Alligator mississippiensis: one gene and its partners. The protein of the gene in region 1 binds, or shares a complex with, the protein of each later gene. Links are inferred from orthologs where the notes say so. Each region holds a gene or a part of one and is shown on either strand. Other genes may lie near its edges. The genes, in order: TAF11, TAF8, TAF4 and TAF13.

What was found.
Region 2: TAF11 (region 1) and TAF8 share a complex: the UniProt entries of both Homo sapiens proteins name them as parts of the TFIID basal transcription factor complex. The link is inferred for Alligator mississippiensis from reciprocal best matches to the Homo sapiens genes TAF11 and TAF8.
Region 3: TAF11 (region 1) and TAF4 share a complex: the UniProt entries of both Homo sapiens proteins name them as parts of the TFIID basal transcription factor complex. The link is inferred for Alligator mississippiensis from reciprocal best matches to the Homo sapiens genes TAF11 and TAF4.
Region 4: TAF11 (region 1) and TAF13 share a complex: the UniProt entries of both Homo sapiens proteins name them as parts of the TFIID basal transcription factor complex. The link is inferred for Alligator mississippiensis from reciprocal best matches to the Homo sapiens genes TAF11 and TAF13.

The regions. Positions count from the first base shown.
Region 1 is NC_081837.1:36,973,744-36,981,760, forward strand, and holds the start of TAF11 (transcription initiation factor TFIID subunit 11), read left to right. Parts: upstream 1-5,005; 5' UTR 5,006-5,031; coding exon 5,032-5,229; intron 5,230-5,308; coding exon 5,309-5,457; intron 5,458-5,919; coding exon 5,920-5,994; intron 5,995-7,337; coding exon 7,338-7,425; intron 7,426-7,834; coding exon 7,835-7,931; intron 7,932-8,017. Other genes in the region: ANKS1A (ankyrin repeat and SAM domain-containing protein 1A), read right to left, coding at 1,389-1,567. UniProt on the Homo sapiens protein: The TFIID basal transcription factor complex plays a major role in the initiation of RNA polymerase II (Pol II)-dependent transcription.
Region 2 is NC_081837.1:39,073,763-39,081,299, forward strand, and holds the start of TAF8 (transcription initiation factor TFIID subunit 8), read left to right. Parts: upstream 1-4,496; 5' UTR 4,497-4,582; coding exon 4,583-4,684; intron 4,685-5,362; coding exon 5,363-5,519; intron 5,520-6,419; coding exon 6,420-6,518; intron 6,519-6,929; coding exon 6,930-6,992; intron 6,993-7,537. UniProt on the Homo sapiens protein: The TFIID basal transcription factor complex plays a major role in the initiation of RNA polymerase II (Pol II)-dependent transcription.
Region 3 is NC_081832.1:5,994,241-6,002,171, forward strand, and holds the start of TAF4 (transcription initiation factor TFIID subunit 4), read left to right. Parts: upstream 1-4,875; 5' UTR 4,876-4,914; coding exon 4,915-5,239; intron 5,240-6,772; coding exon 6,773-7,882; intron 7,883-7,931. UniProt on the Homo sapiens protein: The TFIID basal transcription factor complex plays a major role in the initiation of RNA polymerase II (Pol II)-dependent transcription.
Region 4 is NC_081824.1:247,510,348-247,518,234, forward strand, and holds the start of TAF13 (transcription initiation factor TFIID subunit 13), read left to right. Parts: upstream 1-4,866; 5' UTR 4,867-4,929; coding exon 4,930-4,956; intron 4,957-5,040; coding exon 5,041-5,119; intron 5,120-5,233; coding exon 5,234-5,331; intron 5,332-7,887. Other genes in the region: GTPBP8 (GTP-binding protein 8), read left to right, coding at 919-931. UniProt on the Homo sapiens protein: The TFIID basal transcription factor complex plays a major role in the initiation of RNA polymerase II (Pol II)-dependent transcription.

The DNA of each region.
Region 1 (8,017 bases):
TGCCCTGGGCAGGAAAGAGTGCTGGGGTCAGATGATCCCAGCCATGTGCATGTCCGGTTTCAGGACATGGGCAAGTTGGTGGGAAAAAGTCTAATGTGGTAATTATTAACCAGGGGAACTCCAGCACCCTGGGTGCATTGCCTACCAAATCCGTCGAAAAACACTGTCCCCACTACTGAAAAGCCCATGTGTAACATGATGTACACGAGTTCTTCCAACAAGGTCAGTGAGACTTGTCATGCTGAACTGCTAAATGGTTGTAAAGTATGTCTCAGACCAGCAGAGACTCCTAATGCCTGACGAAAGGCGACTGTGCCTGAAAGCTTAATAAAAGATATCACATCTACCCAAAGAGCCTTATACCAACAACGACTACAACCAAAGACCCAGCAAATGGTCAGAAAGATGTTTAAAAATGGCTACAAACTCTTTTTTGGAAGGTGGGGGGGTTCAGGACTTGGGATAAGCTAAAAAAGGGCAAATTCACGCTGGACACAAGAAAAAAACCTTTTCCTTGCAACCGGAGATGATCCTGGCAGGGTGACGGGGCCCGGGGCAAATCCGTCCGTGCGGGGCCCGGGTGTCAAGAAGCCGGCAGAGGTGGTGGCAGGGAGCGGGGCGGTGGCGAGCGGCCGGACCTGAAGCCGGCGGTGGTGGCACAGAGTCACCAGCGCTGGGCAGGTCCTGCAGGAGGGGCCGCAGCCGCTAGGCTTGGCTCTGCGGGGTCCCCCAAAGTGGTCGCCCTGATTTACCCCCCCACCGGGACGGTCCTGCCCATAAGGGTCACCAGCGTCTGGTGCAGAGCAGAGGCGGTGCCATCGCCCCCCTTGCAGGTGTTCGAGAGGAGGCTGGACAAGCACCACGTTGAGCTCGTCCGAGCCCCGTCGCCTCCTGCCCACGGACTTGACGATCCCGCCGGTCCCTTCTGGTTCGATGGCCGTGGGTGGCAACGCGACGGGTCTCAACCAGGCAGCGTCCGGAGCCCCGCAGGTGTCTTGTCTTCCCTGCTTGTTGCGGGGGGGCCTGCACCCGACCATCTCCCCAGGTCCCTGCCGGCCCCTTGCCACCTACGACGATGTGCGGCGCTGGTGCCGCCCTGCGCGCGAACGGGGCTCTCCCGGCAGCCCCCCCAGACCCGAAAGCGGGACCCCGCTGGGTCCGAGTCCTCCCCACGGCAGGGGACATCGGGCTAAAGACCCTGGGGGAGCAAGGCGTGGGGAAGAGAGCGCGAGGCGAACCCGGCGGAGGGGACCCCGGATGCCGGACCTCCCCGGTCAGAAACACGTTAACGGGGGAGGGGCGGTCACCACGCGGGGAGGTCGGGGCGGGGGGGGGGGGGGGCGCGCACCGGGGGCCCCAACGGCCGTGGGCGGGAGGGGAGCGCCCACCTGAGGAGGCTGGAGAGCGGGTGCCCGCCGCCGCCGCCGCCCCCGGAGCCGCCGCCGCCTCCCGCGGAGCCGCCACCGGAGCCGAAGCCGGAGCTGAGGCGCTTGCCCGACAGCAGCTTCTCCACGGCGGGCAGGTTGCCGGTGCGCGCCGCCTCCAGCAGCTCCTGCTCCTTCCCCATGGTCCGGCCCGGCCCGGCCCCGCCGGCCGCCGCCTCCCGCCCCGCGCGTCCTTCCGGGGCGGGGCCCCGCGCGCCCCGCCCCCTCCAGCCAGACCGGCGGAGGCCACGCCCTCGCGCGGGGAGGGTTAAGCCGCGCTTCCACCGGGGCGGGGCCTCGCCTGGCCACGCCCCCACGCCGCGGGGAGCGGCGCGAAGCATTGGGTGGGCGGGGGCGAGATTGGCTCCACCCCCATGAGGAGGAGGGAAAGGGGTGGCCCCGCCCCCGAGTGGGCGGGGTGAGGGTGACAGCCTCCCTGCTCTTGGGGTAGGGGTAGTGGTAGGGGTAGGGGACCCGCTTGCCCCCAGCCAGGGTGAAGCTGCAGAGAGGGCAGAGGGAGAAGAAGGGCAACGGGCATCTTCTAGAGGTGCGGCCCAGCCCTGCCCGCCCGGGCACAGGGGCAACTTGAAGTGTGAAATACACCAGGAGGGGAAACTCTGTGTATCTGGGTCCATGAAGGCCGTTTTCCTTAAGCCCTCCCAGGGATGACTGTTCTTCTGGAGCGGTTTAGTACCCGCCGAGGTGTTGGGGCTTAAAGCCTGCTTTATGGAAATGGGAGGCTCCTCCCTTGCTTGCTCCTGCGCCATATGGCACAACTCGGGGGCATCCAAACCTTAAGGCTTGGGCCTGCATGTAGGATGCCTGCAGAAAGACTTTGGAAATATCTGAAGCCCCTGGTGGGGGTGGAGGATGTTTGCCAGTTGTAGGGCCACTTACGACTCACAGATTTGGACTTCATCTGGCTTGGAACATGAAAAATGTCTTTTAAAAAAAAAGTGAAATACACTAGGAGCGAGGGCATTGAAACCCCAGCGTGATCGCTTTGGCCAAGGGCACAGAGCTGTTGGCTGCAAGGGGGATCTCAGTGTTATCCCCGCTGAATCCCAGGTCTGGTGAGAGTGCAGTGGTGAAGACGGAAACCAGTGCCAGTGAGCGCGTCTCACAGAGACAAATGGCGTTCCCCTCTCCCTGCCTGGCCCAGTGCCATCTCACCCCAGAAAGTGCTTCCCAAACCCCAGCCCTCGTGCTAAGGGCAAGTGCTAGTCCCAGACATTAGCTCCAGAGCGAGTGTCCAATGCGTTTCTAGCCCTCCTGATCAGTGAATGAAATCTGACAGAAGACAACCAGGACGACATTTGCATACATTAATCATGGGGAGCAGTAATGATTTGGTTGATTGTCCCCCAAGAAGTGGCGTGGAAGCTAGAACACGGCTGACCCGCCACCCGAAACACAGGTAACCCCCACTCTGCTGGTGAAATGCTGGTATGTGAACACCTCTGCCCCTACATTCATTCTTAACAAACCACTCAGATCTTCCACATGAGATGATTTGGCGTGATCTAAACTCACCGCCAACGCGGGTGCTTGTGCTGACTGTGAATCAGCAGGGAAGTTGGCAAGTGAAGAAGCGAGGAGTCTGGACTCTGTCCAAAACCAGTTAGACCAAGTCCCTCCAGTTCAGGTCTGAGACACGACCGTAAACTAAGGCAGAAGAAATTAGAACTGATGCTGCTCAAACTGTACCGGATCTGTGGATAAAAGGGGGGCTTCCCTGTCAGTCTCACACCTTTTACCAGCGTTAAAACCACACTGGTTTTTTGTTTGTTCATTTTTAAGTGAGATCAGCCTCACTGGCCAATCCCCAAGGCATGCACAGGCTCTTTTTACTTTGTATTGCGTGGTCTCTACAGAGAGCTAGTAGCAGATCTAGATCTGCTAATACCATTTCAGTATTTCCATATTGTCACCTACTCTCGGACTTTCCCAGTCCCTAGTATGGGGTTATTTTAATGCTCAGGTAGTTTTCTCTGTCATGAATCACAGGCTTTCAGTCCTCATTTAGTAACGGGCCATCCCTACATTTAATTGATAGCTCTTTACATGCTTGATCTGTAATCCTTACACGTTCAAAACACAAAATATATTTCCTACACTGGTATTACTAAGAATAATCAAAACCATTAATGTTGGTACCATAATTCATTCCATCTGGGGCTCTTAAATAAATTAATTACTTCTCACAGTCTCCTTATGAGGTAGACATCATTACTCTTATTTCACAGATGGGGCTACTGAGACAGACAGGCTAAACATATTGCCCAAGGTCTCATGGAGAACAAAAAACAGATCTTCTGACTTCCAGTCCTGGACTGTAGCCACGAAGCCATCCTTCCCTAAACATATTTTTAAAAAGCCCTGAATAGGCTGTGTTTACCTTAAGGATTAATGCACAAAAATAATTGTAACATAGCTGAGGGACTGCCTTTTGTAAGGCAGGAAAGGGTTAACACTCACAAGAAAGAAGGAAGCCCTGATTTCAACTTGGTAAAAAGATACCTGACATCTGTCAGCATAATGAGACTCACACAGGAAAAGCTTCTGACTGAACTAGACACTCAACCAGCTAGTGTGCTGCTATTATAATGAAATGCAAATGAGATCTTTTATTGGTAGCAATCATAAAGAAGATAAGACTAGAAGTTTGATTTAAACTGGACATTAGCCTCATTAGCTAAGTGAATCTCTGAAAGTACCACCATATATCACAAAAAAGTTGGAATTAATTTTTCCCTAGTGATTTGTATTTGTTAAACATAAGGATACATCTACAGTCAAAAAGAGCAGCTCGTGGATAACAGGCAGGATCACAGCATGCTACAGAAATATAAGGATTACATTCAATCTAAACTAATCTTTCTTACACGTCCTAGTGCAGCCATCACCACTGCTTTTAGGTATCACTTCTACAAGACTTATGGTTGCCTAAGAAAGGACCACCTTCACTGCTCACAGGAACTTCCTTGCTTGTATCTGTCTCAGCAAAACTATATCCAGGTGAACGAAGAAAGTGTGCACTGTATACTTATTGACATACTTTGTGATGCCCTCTCTCTAGGGCAGTCTTTTGGGAGAAGGTGCCTCGCAGCTCGCACCGAAGCCCCGTCTACACGAGGAAATGGACTGGCTGAGGATTGTTGTCAACAGTCTCCATCCCTCTTCCTGCAACAGCGCTGACAAACCTTTTGCCATATTCTCACACCATTCACATCACGCTTGTTGGGCTCCCAGTGTCTGCCACAGAGAGGAGCTGAGAAAGGCAAACCAGCTCATCCTGTTCTGCTGCGGTAGGGAACGCCTCGACCAACAACCCCCGGCCTCAGCTACCTCCCAGTTCGTTCAGATTTGCACTCATGGCATTGCCCCAGGGCCCCTGCCCCAGTGCCCCCCCACCCCAGTGCACACCCCTCTGCCCCAGTGCAGATACCCTACCCCAGTGCCCTCCCCCCGACCACAGCGGCCCCTGGCGCAGGCAGCTGCGTTGCCATGGAGAGAAGCCCCACCCCCAGCAGAGTGGTGCTAGGGCGCTGGCGCGGTCGCCGGCTGATGACGCCATCAGCGCGCGCCACCCCCCCGCCCGGAAGCCATGGCGGAGCCCGTCGAGGCGGGCTGCGAGGAGCCGGTCTCGGCCCGCGACAGCCCGCCGCCCGCCTCGCCGCCCTCCGGCCCGGCGGCTGCGGCCGAGACCGCCGAGGAGCCGCAGGTTGCGGCCGAGACCGCCGAGGGGGAGGCGGCGGAGCCCGGCGCGGGGGCCGAGCCCAAGGTGGCCGCGCAGGCCGGGGAGGTGAGGCTGGGCGAGGCCCAGGGGGTGGGGGCGGGGGTGGCTCCGGGGACCCGAGCGAGCAGGCGCCGCTGTCTTGCAGGCGGCGCAGGGCCAAGAGGGCCCCGAGCTGGCCCCGGCCGACGCGGAGGACCCGTCGCTGCAGGCGGCCGCCAAGAAGATGAAGCTGGAGATGAAGGAGAAGAAGGACAAGAAGCAGAAGGTGGACGAGGACGAGATCCAGAAGATGCAGTACGTGTGGTGCGGGGGGACTCGTGCCGGAGGCCCTGGGGGTGGGGGTGGGTGCTTCCCTGGGCCTGGGGCTCCCTTTGCCCCCCTGGGGCGCGTCCACACGAGCGCGCACGTGCAGTTTGCGGCGCTGCAGATTTGATACCAGCGTGTCCTGGTATCCAGGAGAAAAAAAAAGCTGCCACAAAAAGCGGCGCGGCGCGTGTAACAGCAGCGTGCGCCGTTGGAAACGGAGCTGTGCTCCGCGCAGCTGGATGGGTGCCGCTGCTGCCCCAGGACCCAGTTTGCCGTGGGCTGGAGTGCGCGTGCAGGGGCGCGCCCTGGGGCACAAAGCAGCAGCGCAAATATATGCCACTGCTGCTTGTGCTGGGGCAAATGCACACCCCTGCATGTGGGAATGTGCTCCTGAAGGAACGTGGTGTCCATCTGCATGCAAAACTGAGCCTAATTGGGGCCCCTTTCTAGCTCCGCTGCACCCAGCCTCCTTCTGGAGAGAACCGTGGCCCCTGCTACACCTTACGTCTGTGACAGAGTGCACGGGTGAGTCGTGCAATAAATGTGGGCTGGCCACATGCACCAAGTCACGATCGCATGTTTTGCTGGCAGTAGATGTAGACCGGCCACACGTGCAAAGTCACGTTTGCCCCACAAAAGTGTCCATCCAGCTATAAAAAGAGCCAACCAGCTTGCAAATGTGTAATGACTCCGAGCTGGTTTTTATCCAGCTTTCATTTGAATGTGGAGCAGGGCCCTATCCTGAGACCCCATGTGTGCAGGTAGTGCTAGTTTTGTCCCGAAGGTAATAGTCATGGGGCCTTTGTATGCTTCTGCTCTTCACCAAGTCTCTTGTGCCACAATGAAAGAGAGATTGGGATAGTGTTCCCTTAAATGTCTAAGTTGCCCTAGCTTCTCTTACTGGGGGGTTAACTGAAGCTATGTGCATAGTTATTGCAGAGCAGCCAGCGCCTGATAAGTTTCTATCCCCTGTTAATAGCAAGTAGGAGAACAGCTTGTGCATCTGCAATTATACTGGGGTAAGTGAAAACTAAACCAGGGCAGTTTTGCCCTGTTGCATTCAAGGGTAAGCTGCCCTAGTTTAGATCTCACCATGGAGTAATGAGAGCACAAGGAGAGTTGCTGTGGAGCAGCTGCAGTGTGGTAAATCCATGCACACAAGTCCAGGCACATACCACGTGCCTTTAATAAACAAGAATAGAGATGTACCAGAAGGGCAGTAACTATTTGTTTGCCTGTAGGTAGAGGAGCTAAACTGCTGTGATTTAGTTCCCACTCACAGGGTTAATGCAGGCAGAGGGATAAGCTTAGCAGGGAGCAGCCACAGTAAAAGTCCTGTCTCTGTGAATTGTAGGCTAAGGGAATGTAAAGGTTTTGTAGGGCTTATGACTGTATGTGGGGGTGCAACCAACCCCTAGTCTTGGAACAGTTGCCCTAGCTTATGAATGTAACAGAACACCTTATACCACTATCATATCTTTATGATTTAAATGATGTGCATCCACTCCTGTGGCACTGTAAGGGGAACTACATCACTAAACTAAACCTGAATGCAGCTTCAGTGACTTTGTGCTCTCCTACCCAGGTCAAGTGAGCTAGATAGTAGTAAAATCAGAACAACCGATGCATGATCCTAAGCAGCAACTAGGTCACTTCCCCACCCCACATGCCCTTTGTAACACAGTAGAAAGTTGCATCTGTTTAGTGTCTCTGCTTCATAATGTTAGCTAAAGTGGTATATGCCTTTGAAGCAGCAGATGCTTTAGGATTAGTTAACTGATGTTAGGGATATGTTTGATATTTTTTTGAGGCTAAAGAAATTTTTTAAAATCGTTCTGCCATAAGGGCTAATTTCCTTTCTTCTTCAGAATACTGGTGTCTTCCTTTTCTGAAGAGCAGCTGAATCGCTATGAGATGTATCGTCGTTCTGCTTTTCCCAAGGCTGCTATTAAACGGGTAAGGCTCTGCTGATATTCAGGCTGCAGAGTGAGGGATCCCACTTATTGCACATGTAGAAATACAGAGCAAAATACATTCCTTTTCCTTTTCATGTCCTGAGAAATCTGTGAGTTCTGCTAAATGCTTTGTTGGAATCTGACAGGGATGTGCCATGAGCACTTCTGCTATGGCCTGTATGAAAGCAGTAGATTGAATGTCACTACAAGTCTGGTCAGTCTAAATAGATGAGATTTGAATGGCAGAAGAACTGCCAACCCACCTACCTTGTTACTTGCTTTTTAAGTTGGTTCCCATCCTCTACTCCCATTGACTTCAGTAGTTGTTGCTCAAACTTAATATTTTTTGGTTAGAATCTATAGTTATAGTGAAACTTCTCTTGGTTAATTGCATCTTCTCTTTTCTTAAGCTGATCCAGTCGATTACTGGCACCTCAGTCTCTCAGAATGTGGTTATTGCCATGTCTGGGATTTCCAAAGTCTTTGTTGGGGAGGTGGTAGAAGAAGGTGAGTAAAAGTGGAATATCTTGTAGGCAGAGCAAACTAAGCACTTACCCATTCACTTTAAACGAGTTTGCTTTTAAGGGACCTTT
Region 2 (7,537 bases), about 2.1 Mb from region 1:
TCTGCTCTTAGAGGTTTTTGGTTAAACCTGACCCATTGCTTAGCTATGAGCAATAGTAGTGTGCTGGGCATTTGTTTTTTTTTGACCCAGACCACCTAAAGCTCTCACTCCAATTTCCACTCAATCGCACTGGGTCAGGGTCATGACAAGAGTTCACCAGCAGAACCCATCCTAAGCTACCAGTTCACAGCCCCCTGCAATCTGTACTCATAAGGATGCAGATTTTCAGACATGCCGAGTTCCCACAACTCCAGGAGGAAGCTGCAGGGGCTCTGAAAAAATCAGACCCCGTGTCTTTGGCAAGACAACAGACATCTCACGTTAGCCAGCTAACGGACAGAAAACCTGTCACGCCTTTGCTCCAGCGCTTCTGGGCAGACGTGCACACCTGCCTTTGGTGGAGAAATTACTGCGTCACTGCTCTGCCCGTCCTGTCACTATTTGCACAAGGGAATTCACACACACACCAAAAACTCTGCAGTGATATCGATCTTTAACAAGCAATCCGATCGTAAGTACCCACTTCACAGTATCTCCAGGTTTTTCAGTATAATTGCATTCAACCTGCCTTTCTCCAGTCAAGTTTTGCTGGTTGCCTAAGCTGACATGAGATCTCTCTCTCGCTCACTCCATTTCAAAGTATGCTTTTACAGTGATAAAGCAACCACATTAGCCTCCTACCTTTCTTGATGATCAACAAATTGACTTCTCCGGATGTTTTTCCTGTGAGCAATCCCAGCTTTCTCCTACTCCACCCCCTTCTTTTTCCGTACGTTGCTACTTGCGCTGCCATTGCTGCCCTAGCCAGAGCCGTGTGGAAGCTGCGTTATGATCTGAAAGTGAGATCAGGACCTTTAATTTCCAGCGTGGCAGCTGTTGTTTACATTCTTTTGTTTTTTTTTTTTTTTCAAAAACACACTTACTGGTCTCTGTGATGCTCTCGCTCTCCCACACATGTACTTAAACAGGAAACAAGGGGTGGGCGCTGCGGGAGGGGGGGGTTTCCTGTTCTATAGCTTCTGAAACACGTAACCGACTTTCTGATGTTTGCCAAAATTGAGATCAAAAGATGTGAACCCCTGAGAGAAGGGAAATTAAACTCCACTAAAAGCACACTGCTTACTAAGAGACAAAATCTGAGATGTTCCCCTCGTTAGATAAGCCCTAACAAGTGAGTTAGACTCTTCACGTGAGATTAAGAGGCATCCTTTGTAGATGCAAACTTTTTTCCTGTTGGGACACAAACTCAGCAGCACCATCTTTTGGCTGAGACAGAGATCCTGACCAGCCACGGCTATCAGAGATCCCGTGATGCTTCTTATTACAGCAAGGACATCATGTCCAAATCCTTACAACAAGGATGTCACGCCCGAATCAACGCTGCCAACGGGAGGTCATGCCCGAACCAACACTACCAACTGTTGAAACTTAGCTGACTTGGGGACGGTTACGTGACAACTGATGATCAGCACATAGTGCCCCTGCACCATATTTTAGGTAGTTCAGAAGACAGTATCTAGTTGAAACAGTGGAGGGGAATGGATGGTCTTATAGGCTAGAAGAAGGCAATTCCTCCGTTTCTGTCTGCACCATGAAGGATCTAAAAGGTATTTGCAGCTTGGATGAACACCAGGCAGTTTGCTGTGGCAGCGATGGTGGTAAAGAGATAAAGTTTTAGTGCGTGGTCACAGTACAACAGAAGAGATGGAATCAGCAGGGCTCAGCAGCAGCATTGGTGCTACCCTGTCCTGTGTAAAATAGACATGGGTGGATCTAGGATTTTGAAGAGGGAGACATCGATTGTGTTGCACACAGATAATACAACGCATCTTTTTTTCCTCCAGCTACAGAGAAACTAGAAGCTTGATTAATATACTAGGGTGCAAGCACAACATTATTCAGTTTAAGATCAAAGCAAAAAATAAATATAACCATTGGAATGTGCAGTGATTTGGTATATTATGTACCAGTTTAAGCACCCCCCCCCCCCAATCAAATTAGGCAAAAATCATCAAAATAGTCAAAGAAGATATTGATATTGTTGCTAGTGCCCTAGACATTATAGTTAAATGTCTCTCTCAGATGTCTCAGTCAGATTCATAAAACAAAATCTAGCTGTCTTGAGCATCTAAACAGCACCTCCAATACTTCACTGTCAGCTCCTTTTTACACCCGAGTTAATAGGACCACACCTGAGTTAAGGTATTTACCTAAACCTGAAAAGAGTCTGCAGGGCTGTGAAATAGGAGGCTGACATGACCAGGAACAGCAAACAGACAGCTCTACTGCGGAAAAAAAGATAGTTTGCATAGTGGACCATCAAGCCCATTAAAAGTGTTGGGGAGGGTCTTTAACACTGTGCAGAGAGATTAGCAGGAATCATAGAAAATGAGTGTTGGAAGGGATCTTAGGAAGTCACATCTAGTCCAACCCCCTGCTCAAAGCAGGACCAGCCCCAACTAGATCATCCCAGCCAAAGCTTTGCCTAGCCAAGTCTTGAAAGCCTCCAAGGATGGGAGTCCACCACCTCTCTGGGTAACCGGTTCCAAGGCTTTACTACTCTCCTGGTGAGAAATTTTTTCCTAATATCTAAACTTCCCCTTGCTGCAACTTGAGCCCATTCCTCCTTGTTCTGTCATCTGCCACCACTGAGATCAGTCCAGCTCCAGCCTCTTTGCAACCCCTCTGAAGGGAGATGAAGGCTGCTATTAAATCCTCTCAGTCTTCTGTAGACTAAAGAAACCCAGTTCCCTCAGCCTCTCCTCATAAACCATGTCCTCTGTAACAGGGGGCTTCCTCAGGGCCAGTCTACCAATGGCCCGCCCACCTGTTTCTGGGTCAACCAGCCGCCTCTTCGCCTGCCATGCCTTGATGATATACAATTGATATTAATTAGGTGGGAGGCTGACCATTTCTTGCCCTACACTGCAGCCCAAGCCTCGCAGATGGTATCCACAGTTGTTAACATCACCAGCCCTTCACTGGGCCCCAGAATCCTCGAATCCAAACTCCAACCGGATCCCTCCAATCAGGCGGCCTATTTCGCCCTCATTCTGGGCTGCCTAGCTCCCTGAACTTTTTCCCCTCTTGGGTGTGGTCCCCCCAGGACCTTTGGCCACACAGGCCCCGGCCTCACCTCCAAGACCAGTCAGAAACCTCAGGACCTCAGCACCAGGCAACCCTCGCGGTGGGCCCCTGGCCTCTTTTTACCGTTCTAGTCCTGGCCCCAGCACCGACCAGTCGAGGGTATTCCAAGTCAGTCTTCTGAGTCTATAGCCCACTCTCTAACCTGGGTCAGTCTTCTTGGCCCTACCATGGGGTAACCCACTTGGGTGTGGGAGCTGGGGTTATTAAGGTGCCCCAACCTGCCTTTCACCGGGGTGGTAACTGGGCTGGCATTTTCTGGGGGCTCCTGCACCACTGAGAGCCCCACCAGGCCACCCACTCCCAGCAGGGTGCAGCTTTAGGTCATGGCCAAGACCAGGAGCCTTCAAACCATCCCCTCAAGCTCCTGCCCTTCCCTCCAGGCTGCAACCTTGTAGCCAGGCAATGCTTCTGCCAAGCCTACCAACAGCAAACTGCTGTTTATATAGGTGGCCAGAGATCTAAAATGGCCACTGCAATCAAGCACCTGCTGGCTGCTTGGCTCAGCCCTTAAAGTGGCAGGCACCCACAGTGCACTGCCACATCCCTCAGCCCCCTCACCATTTTCATTGCCCTCCCCTGGACTCTCTCCAGTTTGCCCACATCCTTTCTGTAGTGGGGGCCCAATCAGGGAAACAGATGAGAAGAATTCATGAAGTTAGGGAGTGCAGCCTGATCAGACGGCTGGTGTTAAACTTTGGGTGCAGCAGGGCTCAAAGCAGGGTGCCACAGCACCGTGGCACCCCATGGACCCGCCCCTGGAACCGGATGGCTCTTAACGGGGTGCCTGAACCAGCCTTGTCCCTGCAGCTGAGCACTCGGGTCCACGCGGCGCTTTGCCCCCTGCTGCGACTGGCCGAGGGGCGCCGTCAGCTGTGTTTTGGTCCCACCGATGCCCCTGGATGAGGGTCCAGAGTCCAAGGGCACCAGTCCTGGGTGCATGTGGGGATGCCCAAGGGGAGCAGCCTCCATGAGAAGGGCTGCAGGCTCCTGGCTCAGGCTCCAGGCACACTTAGGCAGCTCCTGCACCCCCTAGGTGCCCTGCTCTCAGAGCCCAGGGCCGGAACTACAACTCCCAAGTTGCTCCGCGCGGCCGCGCATGCGCACAGCTGCGCTGGAGCCCAAGATGGCGGACACAGCGTCCGGCGGCTCGAGCACGGTAACTGCGGGGACGCGGCCCCCCACCAGCGGCTGAGCCCTGGGCCCAGACGGGCGGGGAACCGGCTCATCCTTCCCGGGGGATGGAGGCCGCCCGGTGCGGAGGCCTCGAGGCCTACTGCTAAGAACGGAAGGCTCTGATTGGCTGACGGGTGCGGGTGGGCGGGATTGAGACGGGGCTGTGGATTGGTCAAAGGTGCTTTGATCCGATTGGCCGCCGCTCCTGCCAATCAGAGGGGTGGGCTGCGGGTCACGTGGCTTGGTTTTAAAGGCACAGTGCATGGTGCTGGTTCCTCAGCAGAGCCTCCCTGGCAGAGGGCACGTGGGGCAGAGCAGGGCGGGGTGTCGCATGGATGGAGTCAGGGGCAGGAGGGCCCAGCAGGTAAAGCCAAGGCAGGGGCAGGATGCTTGGGTTCCCTTCCTGCTGGGGGTGCCTCAGTTTCCCTTCTGCCCCCTGGGGAAGCTGCACGCCCCCAGCTCTGGGGAAAGGTGATGTGGCCACCTGCAGCTCCCTGCTGCTGCCAGGGGCTGTGGAGGCACCGCCACCGCGGCGCCAGGACCTCCGACGCGCCAGCAGGAAGCCAAGCTGGACCCCAGGAGCCTCTGATCCAGGGAGGTCGGCAGTCTGCGGAGGGGAGACGAAAAGGACCCGTTGTGCGTCTTAAATCAGAGCTGGGGGGCTCAGCTTCCTCGTCCCTGGCTGTAACCGCTGCACCGTGCTGCCTCCGCCACGTTCCCTTTGCAGGCTGCCGCACCTGGGGGTGTCCCAGCCGCAGGTCTAGGGCTCGCTCAGTGCCCTGGGGCGGATGGTACGGAAGAATCGGCGTGATCTCCGACTTCCCCAAGCTTGTGTCCACGCTGCTCTTCTGTTAGATTGGAACAGAAGGGGGGATCCGAGACCAAGCCGGCATTATTTTGGCAATGCTTGGGTGCTTTGGGAAGCCTCCCGCCCTGCCATGGTTGTCTGGCACCTAGTGCAGTTGTTTTTCATTTCTAAGGACTCTCAAGGGGCTTCTCTGCATTAACACGCTCCTTTGGGGCGGGGACTCTGTTTCCACAGAGGTCGTGTGGCAAATACGCCACAACCCCCGCGGACAACTATTACCTGGCTCGGAGGAGGACCCTCCAGGTGGTGGTTAGCTCCTTGCTGACGGAAGCCGGGTTTGAGAGCGCTGAGAAGGCGGCGGTGGAAACGCTGACGGAAATGTTACAGAGCTGTAAGTGTTTAGTGGCACGGATGAAACTAGTTGTCAATACGGAGGTGAAATTTAGAGGGACCGGTGGAGTTTTGGAGAGCCGGAAAAAAGGGACCTTGTAATACCTGGTATCTCGCTGGAAAAACAAACGGGTGGCTCAGATGTGGTGACATTAATGTACCTAAGAGATCGCTGCTGAAGCTTTTCATTGGGTTGTCTTAATTACTTAGACAACAGTTTCTTCTAGGCATCCAGCTTGGATGCTTTTGTTTTTTATGCACTTGTAGTCGTTGGTGTCAGTGGAGGAACTGGCAAGAAGCATGGTCCAGTGGCTACAGCACTAGCCTGGTGTTGAGAAGATCTATACCCCAGTCCTTGCTTCACCATAAGCGTCCTCTGTGATCTTGAGCAAGTTGTTGATCAGAGCCCCTCTCCCAGTGACTTTGATGGCAGTTCATAAAAAAATCAATGGGAGTCAAGCAGCTAAATCTGTGACATCTGGTTTCATCTGTAAAATAGAGATAATTATCCTGCAGTACTGTACAGAGATGCTGTGAGCGTAAATATACAATAGAGTTTCAGGTGTTCAGATATTTCAGTAATGAAGACTGCACGTGTGGCTTTCTGACTTTTATGTGCCTGCCTCCTAGATCCACACATTGTTCTGTGTTGGCATCTTAGTGGAAGCTGCCAGGTTATTACATTATAGATCTGTCTGCAAGGCCATTGCTGGTCAGAGTGCATTTTTAACCAGAGACCTAAAAAAAGGAAGCAGTAAGATTTGTGTGTCCTTTCTGAAGTACTTGGAAGGGATCTCTGCAGATCATCTCCAGACTACATATCTGAAGCCAGAATTAGGCTGCTGTATACTGGTAAATGATTGTTTCATGTATCAGTTTTCTGGGCCATGTCTTTTCCCAGATGTTTCAGAAATTGGAAGGAGCGCCAAGTCCTACTGCGAACACACAGCAAGGACTCAGCCGACCCTCTCGGATATTGTTGTTACCTTGGTCGAGATGGGTGAGTGACACGCATACAGTGGTTCTCATGGAGCTGAAGTTGAGGAGATGGGGAGAGAGTGTTTCTTCTGTCCTCAGCCTTCGTGGAATTAGAACGTGGCTTGTTGGACCTCAGTTGCCCTGCCGAGCTGCAGCATTGCCTTCCCTGTAGTTGATGGGGGGTGTGAAAAATGCCTCAATCCCTGGATCAGGAGCACTGCAGCATAGAGCCGGATGGCTGGGAGTTGGGGAGGGAGCAGTGGAGAGAGTGCTTTTTCATCACTGGCAGACCCTTAGCATGAAGTTGAGATCTCAAATAGAAAATGCACCTTCTAGGCCCATGCTGTCAGGGCAGGCACCCTTCGTGCTTTCTTTACCCATGAGTCATTTTATCGAGCATGATGTGATTTCACTGTATCCTTCTGCCTTTCAGGGTTCAACGTGGACACTCTTCCTGCATATGCCAAGCGCTCCCAGAGGATGGTCATCACTGCACGTACGTGGGGGTATCCTTCCAGCAAGGAAGAAACCAACGGGTGCAGTCCCAAACCACCTTAGATAAGTAGATCAAAGCAATGAAAGTAGATGGAAATTGTAATGAGAGGGGCCATCTGAGGTTAGAGTCAGTTGAAAAAATGAGATATGAAATAAAGGTCTGATTTACTGAGTAATCAATAAAACGTTCCCAGGGATTTTTTTTAAATAAACGATTTTAACAAATAAAATCCTCTCTTCCAATGCTTGCCCAGCATATTGCAGAGGTCAGGAACTGGGCAGGAACCAGAAGGCAAAATGAACCAAAATTAACAGCAAACACAACTGTAAAACTGATTCATGTTTTTAAGGACTCCAACAAGGGAACTCAAGTATGCACAAGTAATTCAGTGATTGTAAAGCTGTTGATGTTCTTTCAGTCTTGAGGACCTTCAGATCTTGGCTTTAGGAAACTTCCAAAACCTGTGCTTGAATGCTCACGTATTCCGTGCTCTGCCAGCCCCTCCGTGTGCATCCAAAGAGCATCTGGTTTTCGAAGGTCTGTTG
Region 3 (7,931 bases), on another chromosome or scaffold:
TGGGGCCCTTACCCCATTACTAGAATGGGTAGAGTATCTGGGGGTACCTCGCCTTTTTCTCTCTTGTTGTTTATGTGTTGGCCAGTACATCCTTTCCCCAGTAGAGGTCCCTTTCCCCTGGTTTTCTGGTTGCATGGATGTGATTTCTTGCTTCCTTTCACTTCACCTTGTTGTCTCTTCTGCCTGTGCCCCAGAGGCAAACTCACAGGCAGTGGAACCCTGATGACCAGTGGCAGGGGAAGCCTGATGATCTGGGTTTGCTGTTCACCATGGAAAAATGTGGTAAAACCCAGATTTTCTTATCTTAAGGAGGAAAAACCTGGATTTTATCCTTTTAAAGAAGAAAAATGCAGAAAATGGTGGGTTTCCTCTTGCAGGCTAGCAGGGTTCCAGCCTGCAAGGGGCTGGGGGGAGCAGGAGGAAGGTGGTCGAGCAGCAGGCCCCATGTGCATGTACACATGCAGCCTAGAGAGCAGCTCCTGCAGGTAAATCTAGCAGAGAGTGGAATTGAGGGTGCCATAGAGAGGGGGTGAGTTAAAAAGGGCTGGGGCTGCTGCTCAGTGGAGGTGGTATGTGGGGCTCAGGGCCTGGGGCTGGAGTGGGTGGCTGCAGGGCCCTGGTGGGGAGTGGGATGGAGCCGCAGGTAGCTTGTCTAGGGGGCAGCAGGTGTGGGGAAGGCACTCCTAAGGGGGCATGGGGGGGCACAAGCCCCCCAGATTTGTGTGCAGGACCTGGCACAGTGGGGAATCTTGATGCCACTGCCACGAGCCCCACACTGCCATGGCGATGTGTCCCCTGTCTGCCTGGCGGTAGCAGGGGTGGTGGTGTGGAGTTGTGCCTCTTGCTGCTGCTGAGTGGGCAGAGGACATTGCTGGGGGGTAGGTAGTTGCAGACCCGGGTCCATGGCCCTGTAGCTCTGGCAGTTGGGTCCCTCTCCAACAGGGCCAGGGGGCTGTAGGTGGGAAGTGAGGAGCACCAAGAGGGCTAGGGGGTTGGGCATGAGGGGCAATGGCATGGGCAAATCACCAGCATATCAGGGCTGTTTTAGCACCACAAAGCAGTGGGTGGAGGAGAGGGATGGTCACTGCTGGACCCATGTCCTGGTGAGCAAAAGAGGTAGGGGAAGCTCTGATTTTTTTTTCACAGTTAAAAAACCTAAAATCAAATGCCAAACTTTATAGGCATTTAGAATTTATTTTATTGTAGTGACTGAGGTACTGGAAGGCTTCGAAATTGCTTAAAAGCTGTAAATATATCAATAAATCATTGTGTTCTACTGATACCTATATATAGCGGCATTTCCTATTAATCATGGGAAAACATGGATTTTAGGGTTTTTAATCGGAGAATTTGCAAGTGCATTTTAATCGGAGAATTTGCCATTTTTAAACAGGGAAAACCAGGATCCCTGCCAGTGATCCCAGGAGGGGAAGTAGAGGGGCCATGTGACCCAGGGAGCCCTATATAAGCCCAAGCTTCAGGCCAGCTGTGGAAGCCATCCGGGATGGAGCCTTCCCTGGGAGGTGTGGAGACTGGAGCCCAGACTCTGGAGAGAGGACTTGGGGGGGGGGGGGGGGGGGCAGCGCTGAGTGAAGAGAAGCTGGGAGCCTGCATAGAAAGAAAGCTAAGTACCACTGGGACTTCCTGTTTTGCTTTCTTTTCTACTTGGAGCCTGCCACCAAGAGGTGGGGCGATTCCGTGTGGGGCGTTCTTTTGAACTGGGACTGGTGCTTGCATTTTGTGGTTTTCATTCCTCTCCCTCCTTCCCTACCCTGTCCCCGAGGACTGGGTTGTGGGGGGGGGGGGAGGGACTGGGGGACCCTGAATTTGCACTGAGTTGACAGAGGACAAGGACTAGAGTGTGTTCTGTGGCTGAATGAGGCCAAGCTTGCCTGGACTGTAAAGATGAATGTTTAAAGTATGTTTGGTGGCCATAGGAGGCCAAGATTGTCTGGACTATAAGGCAGGAGGTGGCAGGGGAAAAACGGGATGCCAGGCCCCTAGCGCCTACATAGTGGATTGCAGAGGCTGGAACCTGAGGTTGTGGGTTGTGACCAGAGCTGACCCAGGAACTTGCAGCTCTGAATGGTGGGCCCCAAGCTAGAGGGCTGAGGGAGAGTAAAATCAGGACAAGGCCATGAGGGAGCCTTGGACCAGACGGGGCCCACCTCTACAAAAGCATGTTTCACCCTCTGTGCAGCCTCCCCCCCACTAATGTTAACATCAAAGGCATGGCAGTTGAGACTACTGACTAGGGGAAAGATGGGTGTTTATATGTATGACTCTTTTTATTAATGTACATGTTAGACAGAGTTTCATTAGTTTTTATTGAAATGTTGTATGGCAGCTAGCTAGTATAGTAGATGTTCCATATGATACGGTAAGAAGTATTAATACTACAAACATTTGGAAATGAATCATAGCAATCTTAATCATTGTATGGTCTGGCTCACAATGAAGGTTCTCTCTGTCCAAGAGTTCTGCTAATTCTCCCCCAACATGACCATCTCCTACCTTTTGAACTTCTTAATCTCTTCTGCTCTTTTTTTGTCCAGCTGTGACCCTCTTGTCCTTTAGTCATTCCCTCTGTCCCTATTGCTGTGTTTAGTTCTTCCTTCACATGAGCTCTTCTCTCTTGCTGTGCCCCTCTGTCATTCTAATCCATGGTGCATGTGTAGCCAAATGCAGCCCAAGCAGCTAAAGGAGCAGAAAAAGTGACTTTTGGTCATCTTTGTCATCCTAGGGCTAATCAGGACTGTTCTGGCTTTCATCTGGAAGAATTTGTCCTTGAGGAGTCATTTTGGCAGTTGGTGCAGCCTGTGAATTGCTATCCTGTTATTGTTCAGTTATGCATGGACAGATAGCCTTCTCTTGGAGTCACTAAAGTTGACAGAACTTAACTGAGGATAAAGGCAGCAGCATGGGAGAGAAGTGACATGAGCTGTAGAAGTGGTGGTCCTGCATTTCAGGAGCTGGGCAACAAGGCTTCATGGGATGTGTGTGTAGGATACAGCAGCTGCACTAGTGTAGTTCAACTAGTATTGACAAAAAGTGCAAGTTGAGAACCCTGTAATTAGAAACAGGTCCTTTTCCTTGCTGCTTTCTACCAGGTGCTGAGCAGGATAACTGAGGAAAGCTTGTAACAGTAATGAATGAAAACAAGGATAAAGGATAGTTATAATGGCTGAACATGTTGGTTACACAAGGGGAATTTAGACACGGGGATTTAATAAGGTTTTAAATGTTGGGAGGAGGGAGGCAACTGCTTCAAGTTTTAATGACTTGTTTTGAGGCGATAAGAATTTCAAGAAAGGCCAATTGCTCCGATTCTCATTCATAGTGCAAAACTCTTCATGGGAGAGAAGAATAAACTGTCTCCAGCTTTATTAACAGGGGAAAAGAGAGTTTGGAACTAGACGAGCAGCAATATTAGGATGCATATTAAAATATTAGGAATACATGGGTTATATTTTGCATGAGTGCTGTGTGTCCCTGGAGACTCGGGGGCGGAGGGCACAGACCACCTGCAGGTGGCCCCCTCTGGGGTGGGTGGTGGTGGGGAGCACCAACCAGTGGTTGGCAACCACCTGCAGATGCCGCTGGCAGCATTGGCAGTAACCAGTGTGTTTCAGGGACTGCCCATAGATGCTGCTAGCAGTGTCGGTGATGAATGATGATTAGAGTCCTAAGACCAATATTAGTGGTAATGTATTGACCTGAGAGACCATTTCCCTAAAGCTGTTGACTCCCACCTCCTTCCCCTCTTTTCCACCGGTGTCAATAGGTGGCTTGACTCTGTGGTAGACTGTCCAGTAGATGTTTAAGGGAAGACTTTTTCTTTTTCCTGTCTCTCTCATCTCTTCTCCCACCAACTCCTAAACACTGAGTGCTGAACTTCAGCAAACCAGAGTCCAAGCTAAGCAATGTTGCAGAGGCCAACACAAGACTTGTCCATACCACCTTTGGGCCACGACCAGCAGGCCAGGCTCCATCTGTCTGCTTTAAATAAGCTAAAAGGTATTATTGGGGAGGGGGGAAACTGTTGCAACACATCCCTTTGCCTCTGCAGCCTAGAAGCATCCATTTGGACAAGGCGCTGGCAGCGTTTGCTCCTCCCAAAAGGCTGATGCTTTCTTTAAATATTCCTCTGTGGGCCATTTTTTTTTTTTTTCAGGGGTTTCAATCCAGACTTACAAGCGCAAAAAAAAAAAAAAAAAAAAAAAGCAGCTGCTCTCGACTTGCCTCCGGTCTCCTTCTAGCTACCCCCACCCCCAGCACCGCATCCAGCCTGGAAGGACCCATTCGCTCCTCCCAAAAGACAGCATCAGCCTGTGGGCCACTTCACAACACCCCCCCCCCCCAAAAAAAATTTGTGCATGGAAAGGCTGGATTGAGCTCCCGCTTGAACTAGAGGGAGATTGGAGGCAACCCCAGCATCCCTCCCTCCCGGGCCCTATTGTTAGGTTGCAGAAGCGGCCTTGTCGCGGATCCGGAGTCACTCCGGAGCTGCCCTCCTCTCAGCGCCGGGCTTCTCTTCACCCCTCCTTTCCTCACAGGTGCGGCGCCCTTCAGCCTCGCAGCCATTTTGGGCTCGGCCAGACAAAGAGCACCCCCCACCCTCCCTCCTTCCCTCCCCGCCACCGCGCCCCCCTCCCTCCCGCCCCCTCCAGCTCCCGCCGGGCCGCCGCCGCCCGGCTCCCGACTAAACCCCCGCAGCCATTTGCGCGGCCTTTTATAGGCGCGGGCGGGCCAATGAGCGCGCGGCGGAATCCCGGCGGGCGCGCCTGCGCAGGGGGCGCGGGGGGCGGGGCCGGGCGGCGCGCGCGGGGGGAGGGGAGGGGCGGGGCGGGTCAGGGGAGGAGTGTGAGGGGAGGGGGGAGGGCGCCCAGCGCACAGGAACCCTCCAAAAAAAAGATGGCGGCGGGCTCGGATCTGCTGGATGAGGTTTTCCTGAACACGGAGGTGGACGAGAAGGTGGTGAGCGACCTGGTGGGCTCCCTGGAGTCGCAGCTGGCGGCCTCCGCCCACCACCACCCGCCCCACAAGGCGCAGGAGCCGCTGCGGGCCGCCGGGGGGCTGCTGGGGAACCATGTTGTGAGCGGCAGCGGCAGCGGCGGCAGCAGCCCGAGCCCCAGCCCGGCGGGAGCGGGAGCAGGAGGCGGCGGCGGCGGCGGCGCCCATGTCCACAGCGAGGGCGGAGGCAAGATGGGGCTCAGCGCCCCCGAGGTCCCCAAAGCAGGTAGGGAGGGACAGGGCTTCCCCCCTGCCCCTGAGGGCTCTGGCAGGGGGACCCCCCCACTTTTCAGGCCCCCCCCCGGGGGTGGCAGCGGGGGGAGCCTCCTGCCGGCCCCCCTCGCACTCCAGCGCTCCCCCCGGCTGCTGGAGTGCCAGGGGGGGTTATTAATCATGACACCTATTTCCTGTATGGGAGGAAGCCGGGTGGGGGGGTTCAAGGAGGAGGGTGTCCCCCCCCACCCCCCCCACGCACCATCTGCATCTGTCTGGGTGTCCCCCCGTCGCCCGCCTCTTCTCGCAGGAGCCTGGAGGGGGGCATTCGACACCTCTCATTCCTCCTTTCCCCTCAAGAGGGTGTTCTTGCAACGTCAGGTCCCGGCGTGGAGGTGGTGGTGGTGGCAATGGGGGGGGGTGCACCCCACCTTCCTCGCCTTCCCGCCGGCTTTGGGACTGGGGGGTGGAGGGGGGGGTCGGTGTTCGTCACGACGCGAGGTCTCCGTTGGTGGGGGATGGTGGCGTGTAAGATGTTGTTTTTTTTTTTTTTGAGGGAGGGAAAATGTTGTCTTGTGCTTCTTGTCGCCTCCTCACCACCCCCACCCCCCTCTTTTTTGTGTGTGTGTGTGTGTGTGTTTTTTCCTTCTGCTAAGAGGTCGTTGCTATTAAATCAAAGCAGCGGGGATTGCGGGGGAGGGTCCCCCATACGATGCGCCTCTTAGTGTATCTGTCAGTGACTGCCCCGTTCCCATTTCTCTCTCTTTTTAATGCAGGACCTGAAGTATCTAAGCTGGGGTTAGTCATAATACCAGGCCTTGCCAAGGGGCATGAAGAGCTCTGGGGGCAAGAAGCTGCATCATAATGGTCCTTCTCAGTGCCAGCATCTACCTTCTCTTCTTTACGATTTTACTTTATTGTTATGGTTTTGGTTCTCGGGTTCCCGTAACCATAAAGAGCAGATCCCGTCCGCTCTTTCTCCTAAGAGCTTTCCCCTTGTCAGGCTGTCGGTTCTCTCGTCCCCACCTCCTCTTCTTGCAGTAGTTGAACTAGATGCTCCAGCAACTAGCTGCCAGTCTGGCAGCTGATAGGATGAGGAGGGTAGCCCACATCAGGTGTACAAGGCATGGGGAATACACCTTATTAATGGATTTCCCAGGCTCTCTGTCTCGCCTTCAGTTTTTTTTCCCCCTTATAGTTGCAGGATCTGAAGTTATTAGACATAATGTCAGTCCCTAGAATGAAAGAGAAATAGGTTGAAGGAAAAGAAACATTTCCCCAGTCATGGTCTGTATTGTATCCTATCAGGCGTCTGATTTCCCTTCTTGGTGCAAGTGGGCGTTATAATTAATAACGCTGCTAATGGGAGACTAGGGGGCCTTGGGATTCACTGGCTTGTAGCTCTTCTTCCTCTGCATATGCTCACCCCTGTTTCTTATTGCAGGCAGCATGTGGGGGAAAAAGGCTGCTTGGGGGGAGAATGCTTCCCATGCTTCTGTTGTCTCCTGCGCATTCTCTTCTTGTAACCTCCTTCTCGTTGTTGCAGGAGCTGGAGGAGTGCAAGGGGGTGTTATTAACCATAACACCAGGTCCCAGAGTTCAGCTCTGGATGGAGCCACAACGACCAGCACCAGCACCACCACTGCAGCAGCTACAGCAGCAGCTGCAGGAGGAGGAGGAGGATCTGAAGTTACTGCTGCTCCAGGGACCCTCAGTCAGGGCAAATCGGTGGTTATCAGCACCATGGCAACCTCCTTGTCCACCAGGAATGGCAAAATTGGGACCACAACCGTGCAAACTTTGAATGGGAGTAATGTGGTGATGAACTCTCACCACTCCGGAAGTGCTGCTTTCTCTGGGACTCCTGCAACTGCTAATCCTGCTTCTGCACCTGCTGTTGCCCCTCTAGTTAACAATGGACCTGGATCGGTGGGGAAAGCAAATACTGTTAATGCTGTTTTGCCATCAGCTTCCAGCACTGTCATCCAGACTTCTTTCCTCAGCACTGCTGTGTCCTCTGCCTCTTCGTCACCCACAGTGATCTCCTCACAGCCACCACCAAGCATTGGAAGCGGGGGGGCTACTGTAGCACTGGTGAGGCCACCGATTCATACAGCAGGACCCACGGTTGCTGCAGCTGCTGCAGCCACCCAGAATGGGAGCAATACTGTGATCAATTCAACCATCAGTGTGGGGAATTTTCCTGCTGTTGCTGCAGCCACTGTGGGATCTGGAGTTGCCCTCCAGACATCGCTTGTGAACAGCCAGCCTGGTTCCAGTGTGCCGGCAGCCCCCACCACGCAGGTCATCAAATCGGAGTCTCCTAAAACTATAGTGCAGGCAGTATCCCAACAGCAGACACTGGCTGCTAGTGGCCAGCCCAGTACTACAGGGGGTAACATGATCATTGGGCAAACTATGCAAGCTGGGCTCTCTAATGTGGCCCCCAATCCTGGTGGGATACCTCCAGCAGCTCCTGGTACTCCTACGGGGATGGCTAAGGGCACTGCCAATACAGTGGCACAAAATCTGCCAAGGACTCCAGCAGCAACGACAAGTGGTATCAGAGCAACTTTGACTCCTACAGTTTTAGCACCTCGTCTGCCTCAGCCACCTCAGAATCCAACTAATATTCAGAACTTTCAGTTGCCACCAGGTAAGCAAAGGCCTGAGGCTTTTATTTTGTGATGGTGTCTGTTGCTGAG
Region 4 (7,887 bases), on another chromosome or scaffold:
TCCAATATTTTATTTTAAATCACTGGGTAGAAAGGTGGAATCTTTGGTTTAAATTATTCCTAGAACAGATTATTTTTCAGATTTCAATCATTATTAACTTCATTAAAATATTATTAACATATTTTATAAATGGTTTATATTTCCTTCCCTTCCTTCATATGAAGGCAGTCTTGAATGTGAATGCATACATTCTAGAATATATGGCTACAGCTGGAGGTGAGCAAGACCCTGAGCTCTTTGAGTCTTAAGCATAGCATCCTCCTTTCTTAGCTAGATCAAGAACATCATGTAGGTGTGTTTTTCCCCTCCAATTAGTCATTGCTTTCTAGATCTCTTTTATTGAGGAAATCAGGGGTACCACGTGGAATTCAAGCCTTCTGATAAATCCATTTAGTTCTAAGTTGAACAGGAATGCAAGTCTTGATTTAGTGAGGACAAGAAAAAAGCAAGCACAAAGCAGTCTTTCAGAACCATCCACCTAATTTTGATTGCAACAAGAGTTGACGGGACCCAACCACTTATATCAGGTGTAGGCATCAATTAAGTATGTAGATGTCACAGATGGTTTCAGTGGCTGAAATTTGAGAAGTTCTAGTAAAGATTTTTGTCCCCACTAAAATGAAAGTATTTATTTAATGCTGAATATTTCAAATATTTAAACAATTGACCATTTATAAGAACATCTATTTGTAAGAGACAGAATACTTCTAACCCGCCTTGCAGACCAACTGTGGAATTGGACATACAGGAGTTTCCCTGAGCATAATAAATCATTGGACAAGAACCTGGTTCCAATTCTTCTTCTGGAGCTAATGAACCAGCCCTACTTCAAACATCTGTAGCAAAACAGGTCAACCTCTGGCTATCCCCAGTCCACAGACTCCTGAAGGAGTACTTGATTTCTCATTCATCTTGCAGGAGTGTACTGTGACTGTCCACCCTGCTGGTTCTTGAACTCTGGAAGATGCACCACCAAGAAATGTGTCTGGTAGATGCACCAGATACATAGGCTGACTTCTTCCGTGTTTAGAAGGTGAAGGAAAGATCTCACCTTTGAGCATCAGATATCACAATAGATTTGTCAGTCATAATCTGAATATGGTGCTTCTGACGTGGTGTAGGAAATCCTGGATGCTTGCTGCCCTGCTTGGAAGTCCATTATGTTAATATGGAGCTTTGTCTCCTTGGAAGACGAGAGGCCTTGCATTTGGAGACTGCTGACTTATGCTTCATGCCCTAGTAGAGAAGTGTCTGCTGTGATGGTCACAAAGGAGTGGAAGAGGAGGAATGGGACCTGATGACTCTGAAACTCATGCTAAGCTTGGGCCTACTCACAAAACTTAAAATACAGAATAACGCTAACTGCGTATTGCAAGAGGATGCGAGTTCATGGCTAGGCCATCTAAGAAGGAATAATGAAGTATCTCTTCCAGCTTATCTTTCTATACTCAAAATGATTTCAGGCAGACTCTTAGTTGTCTGGTGTGTAACCATATGAAATGTCTATCCTTGATTAATTAGTATGGTAAATATTTTTTTTGCAACTAACTCGTGTTTATGTGCAGGAAGAGACATTCTCCATATGTAACAGATGTCTCCTCCTGATTTAGTATATTTTTCCTGGCTGTTAATCAATTTCTTGATATGTTTCAAACTGGATAACCTCTTGTTACTGAAGAAAGTAACTAATTTAAATTAGAAATTTCTGATAACCAGTAATGAGCAGGTTTTTCCTGTCAATTACTGCTTGGGACTCTCTCTTGATTTACACAACTAAAAGAATGCTTTGAAGATGCTAAACTAAGGGTATAAAAAGGCAGTAAAGCAGCAAACAGCGCACACTTCAAGAGTGAGAAATCTCTCTGACATCAGTTGCTGATGCGCCCAACTTACTTGAGAAGTTGAAGAGAAACAGACTGCCTTTTCGTTACCCATTTGGTGAAAAATCATCACCTTATAGCTAATTACTGGACTTTGATTTGGTTTGGGCTCACTTGACTTGATTTTAAATACTTGTAGTAAATAAAGCCTTTCTGTCACTCATCGAACGAGGTGTCAATCCCTGGGCTAGTCCAGAATCCTAGGTTTTTAATTGCTAACAGGACCCTCTACCAGCACGCCAGGGAGTATGCGACTATCAGACACATTTTTTAGGTCAGTCCTAGGGAGCATCCCATTAGGCAGTAAGCAGATCAAAGCCAAGACTGCCTACATCGGGGGGCACAATTATTTTGGGCAGAGAGCCATTTACTGAATTTTGGCAAGCCATCAAGGGCCACATGACAGGCAGCCCAGAGCAGATAAATACTAATTTTCTAAATTTTTTAGGGGCCCTGCGGGCTGGATAGAATGGCTTGGCGGGCTGCATTTGGCCCCTGGGCCACATTTTGCCCACCCCTGGCCTACATCCACATTATAGTCTGAGATGTAGCATTATGAAGGTGCTAGTCATTAAGTTGTCTCTTTTCTAGGATTCTTTGTACTACTATCTGGCTATTGGTCCCAACATCAAAACACTGGCTAACAGCTGTGCTCGCATCTGAGAGTTATTTTTATTACTTGTTTATTCACTTCCACTGTAATGTCAGTTTTGGGGGGGAAAAAACTGTGGGCCTTTCTGTACTAGCAGCAACAAACTACAGCGTTACCAGACAAGTATGTAATGTTGTGAACTATGAGAGACCTCTGTTCTTTCCAAAAAGCTTGAGAAACAGGTCAGTCGCGCACTAGAGGGAGACAGAATTTGGGGAAGAACAGACTATTCTTCATTGCTTGTCACATACTGGTCATGAAGTGGAAAGAGGGAGAGAGAAAAAGGATTGGCACTATGTTAACTGAGAGGAAGATCTTTTACCACTGAAATTACTACAGCATTGGTGTGAATTGTTGCTTTTTTTGTCAACAGAGAAATGTAATACTTATATACTTATTATTTTTAAATATATAAAATTAAGGTGTCTACCAAAAGAGTGAATGTGCATATGCTGGAAAGCTTTAACCAGTTCCATTGAGATTCTTGCTATGCAGGTCTGATTTTATGCTCCACATAGCAAGACTCAAAGGAGAAGTTCATAATAGGGAAGCCACTGTGTAAAGTGCAATATTAAATGACTGATGGCATATGGTTAAGAAACCCCAATACAAACTAGAAATTCCCCACCGAGCCACTCCCCTGCAGAATATGATCTTCTCTAGGTAATGGATGTATCGCAGGAAAAAACTATTTTGAACAGATACCACAAAGCATTGGACTTACTCTCTCCAAATGCCATGCAGTTCATTCACAGGTTCATAGAGATGTTCACTGACCCCATTCTCAAGGGTTTGTATTTTTCTGGTACTTATAGCTTGGCTGCACCTTTTTTCTCTTCCTCTTCAACTTCTTAAAGAATAAGCTTGTATTCAGAGCAGTGATATGTTACTCAGAACATACTTACAGCTGTTAGAGACCTAATCCTGACTGGAAGAGTGGACCTCTTGCCAGTAGATCAGCAGTTCTCAACCTCTTTAGACCAAGGGCTCCCCCTCAGAACATGCCAGCTCTTAGTTTTCACTCATTTTTGACAATATCAAAACAACAGAGCAGTCTCTGCCACAAGGAACTCAGAGGCCACGACAGGGCAGAATGGTTCGGACGCTCTGGATTCCTGTTTGCAATCTCTGGTCGATCTTGTGCAGCATGTCTGCACCCCGGCAGTGCTAACATTGTGTGGCACCCGGAAAAGGATCCCCAGGCACCCGTGTGCTACAGCACCCTGCTTGAGAATCACTGCAGTAGATGAATGCAGGCAGGCCCCGAGAACTTCCCCTCAGGAGATGATCGAACTGAGGCCCTGCAGAGAAGTAACAAGTTTCTCAACTAGTATAACCCCTGCCTAAAAATCCTAGATGTAAATAACTGCATGAAAAAGGTGGCAAGTAGTAGCACAGCTCACAAGCCCGGCTTGAGAGGGAGAAAAAATGCTGTTGGGCCAAAGTTCACGTAGGACAGCAGGCCTGGAGTGCCTAGAAATGATCCCCAAAGGAGTCAGTCTCTTCCAAGCAGCGTGTTGTGAGTTCTCCCCTCTGCTCGTCCCTCCTTGGGCTGGGCAGAGGGAAGCAGGGAAAGGCAGAAGGCTGGTTTAGCATGTTTAAATAGATTTTCACATTCTTTCCCAGTCAAGCCTGAATACCTTGTTTTCCACTTGTAGTTTCTCATGGGCTCTTGTCTAACATGGAGCTGTAAAAGTGTAGTCTGACATTGTGGAGTACAAGCGAAGCTGAAGGGACCTCAATGTAGGCCAGCAACAGGCACTACGTAGGTGGGGAAAACTGCAGGGGTTGATAGTTCCCAACTCATGAGATTTGGCCTCTCTTTATAAGAGGCACAGCACAAGTACAGCCAATATATAATCTAATTTTTAAATATTTTATTAAAAAAAATATTATAAAATATTTTAAGTTTAGTTAAAATAATTACTTTTTAAAAGTTAAAAAAATTAAGATTAAAAATTATGTTTAAAAAATTTTAAAATTAAATTTAAAAAAATGAAAAAGCACGTGTCTGTGCGTGCGTGCGGCGACACCCACGCCGCCCCGGCCCAGCCCAGCCTTGAGACTGCTCCGCTGTCCAACAAGCCGTACACCGAATTGGCGGCGCTAGCCAGCAGAAACCGGAAGTTCCATGGGAGTCAACGGAAGCCTCACACTGATGGGACAAAGGACGGGGGTGGGAAGATTTCGAGCCAGCGTCCGTACGGCAAAATGGCCGCGCGGGGAAGCATAAACCGGAAGTGTGGTGTGCGTAAGCGGAAACGTCCATGGAAGGGACGAAGAAAGGGGCGGAGCCCCGGTTGTAGTTCCTTACGAAATCATGGCGGCCCCCATAGCATCACCCGGAAGCTCTGCAGGCTAGGTCGGAAGTGGCGCGCAGCAGGCGGGCCGGGCATCATGGCCGACGAGGAGGAGGACGCGCCGGTGAGTGAGTGAGACATCCACGGGGAAGTGTGGGGAGAATGCTCTGGGCATGCAGTAACCCCTCCCGCCCTTTACCATCCGCAGTTCGAGGAAGACGCGGAGGAGGCGGGTGGCGGCCTGGACGGCGGGCAGGGCAAGCGCAAACGCCTCTTCTCCAAGGAGCGTGAGTACTGGGGCGTTCGCATGCGCGGGGGTGGGGGGCAGTTGGCCCTGTCAAGCTTGAGGCCCCGGCAGATGGTAACTGCGCGTGCGTGGCGTTCTCCCTTCCGTTCCCTAGTGCGCTGCATGATGTACGGCTTCGGGGACGACCAGAACCCCTACACCGAGGCCGTGGACATCCTGGAGGACCTGGTCATCGAGTTCATCACGGAGATGGTGCGTCTGTGCTGGCCCTGCCTGCCCCCCCGGGGGGGAGGGTACCCCGTCTGGGCGCGTGGGCCACCCTGCTGCAGCCTTGCACAACAGTGGGGAACCTGGCTTGCCAAAAGGAGTCTCATGAGGTTCAACAAGGACAAGTGCAAAGTCTTGCACTTAGGACAGAACAATCCCATGCACCGGTACAGGCTGGGGGCTGACTGCCTGGGCAGCAGCTCTGCAGAAAAGAACCTGGGGGTTTCAGTGGACAATAAGCTGAATATGAGCCAGCAGTGTGTTCTTGCTGCCAAGGCTAACAGCATACTGTGCCGCATTGGTAGGTGTGCTGCCAGCAGGGTATGGGAAGTGATTATTCCCCTCTATTCAGCACTGGTGAGGCCACCTCTGGAGTACTGTCTCCTGTTTTGGGACCCTACTACAGAAAGGATGTGGACAAATTGGAGTGAGTCCAGTGGAGGGCAACAAAATGGTGAGGGGACTGGGGGACATGACTTCTGAACAGAGGGTAAAGGAACTGGGCTTATTTAGCCTGCAGAAGAGAAGACTGAAAGGGGATTTAATAGTAGCCTTCAACTACCTGAAGGTTGGTTCCAAAGAGGATGAAGCTGGACTCTCAGCTGGACTTCTCAGTGGTGGCAGATGACAGAACAAGGAGCAGTGGTCTCAAGTTGCAGCAAGGGAGGTTTACGTTGTGTATTAGGTAGAATTTTCATACTAGAAAGGTAGTAAAATACTGGAATGGGTTACTTAGAGAAGTGGTGGAATCTGTATCCTTGGAGGTTTTTAAGACTTGCCTAGACAAAGCCTTGGCTGAGATAATCTAGTTGGGGGTGGTCCTGCCTTGAGCAGGGTGTTGGACTAGATGACCTCCTGAGGTCCCTTCCAACCCTCATCTTCTATGATACTATTGCATTAGGCCCCTTGGGTTGGTGAGATGCAACCTGTGACCTCCTGAGGTCCCTCCCAACCCTAATTGTCTATGATTTTTCTGTGATTTCAAGAGCCTTACTACAGACAAGTTCCCAGCAGTTCACAGTCCAGCATAGTGACTGTGCTTCCAAGAGAGAAAAGAGACGTGTGCATTGCAGTCCATGTTAGTTTTAAACGATACCTTTTAAAGAAATAAAAGTGTACGCCTCCTATGATGCTGATTTTCAGCCAGGGTGCCGCAAAGCTCCCTTAAGGGTTGCTGCACAATATTAGCACTTAGGTGTGACAGCACGTACCTGTGGTTCATAAAATAAACCTGGAGACCCACGTTTTTGCCTTCCCCCTGTAGCAGTAGGCATGGCTCTCTTCCTGGGATCCCTTGAGCATATATTGACAGCATTGCATAGAAGCAGGACCTTGTCTGCCATGGTTCCTCTGCTTTACCTGTGGTAGGTTAGGACAGGCGTTGTCAACCGGGGGTACTTGGGAAGGCCCTAGGGGGTATGCACAAGCGAGCAGGGATGGAGTGCCACCACTTCCCAGGAACAGGGCCAGGGTGGGGTAAGGGCAGAAATGCCCCTCTGTGGGCTGCACAGGCACCAGTTGTACATGGGGCGGGGGGGTGGGGAAGATTACGCACAGCAGCCATCGCTGCCACCCACCAGGCCACACTGCTGTCACTCTGCATCTGGCCATGCACGCGCACCCTCCCCCCCCCCCCCCCCCAGTTCCATGTCCACCTGCCAGGGGTACACTTATTTAAAAAGGTTGAAACCCCCTGGGTTAGGATGTTAGGTCTGTATTGTGTCCTAGTTGATGGTAGTCTTACATAGATATTAGATTATGGTTTGGATGGGTTTGATCCTGCCTCAGGCAGGGGGTTAGACTAGATGACCTCTAGAGGTCTCTTCCAGCCCCACTTCTCTCTGACTATAGTCTGTGACTTTGTGACGTGCTACCCTGTTGGCTTTCTGAGTTGTTTGCAGCAGCAGACCAGCTTTGCTATTTTCTGTAGTCAAAACTTAGAGGTGGGGGACAGGTTTCAAATCCGGTGGTTCTCAACCTTTTTGGACTCAAGCTACCCCTTCATCACTTGTGTGAATTTGAATGGCACCCATTTCAAAAACTAATTTATATATTACAGTTCTTACCCTGCCCTCCCTCCCTCCCTCCCCCCTTGCAGGGGGCCAGGCAGGGACAAGTCTGAGCCTGTGCTTATCTGCTTGTCTCTTCATATGTTGCTTATCCCCTCGCACCTTAGGGCACTTTTCAAAGGATCTAGCAGTATCTGAGAGTGCCCAGGCACCCTGGTTGAGAATCCCTGTTCTGTTCTAAGGCTGTGCCTTGAGCTGGATGAGGGGTGCCTTGAGTATAAAAAATGTTGAGAGGCACTGCTCTATGGGATGTGGATTCTGTTGCTCTTGTAAAAGAAGAATGTCCTGCTGTCATTGTCCAAGTGTTTTTGAGTGAAGTTGTCTAGCTCAGCAGTTTGTTTGTTTTTTAGATACCTGCACTATATGTACTGCATACTTGTTTCTCACTGCCTGATGCTTGCTATGCTCTGCTTCCCCAAATCAGTCTCTAGTTTAAGCCTGCTCTCCTACCTGTATAACTCTGGCTCGGGTG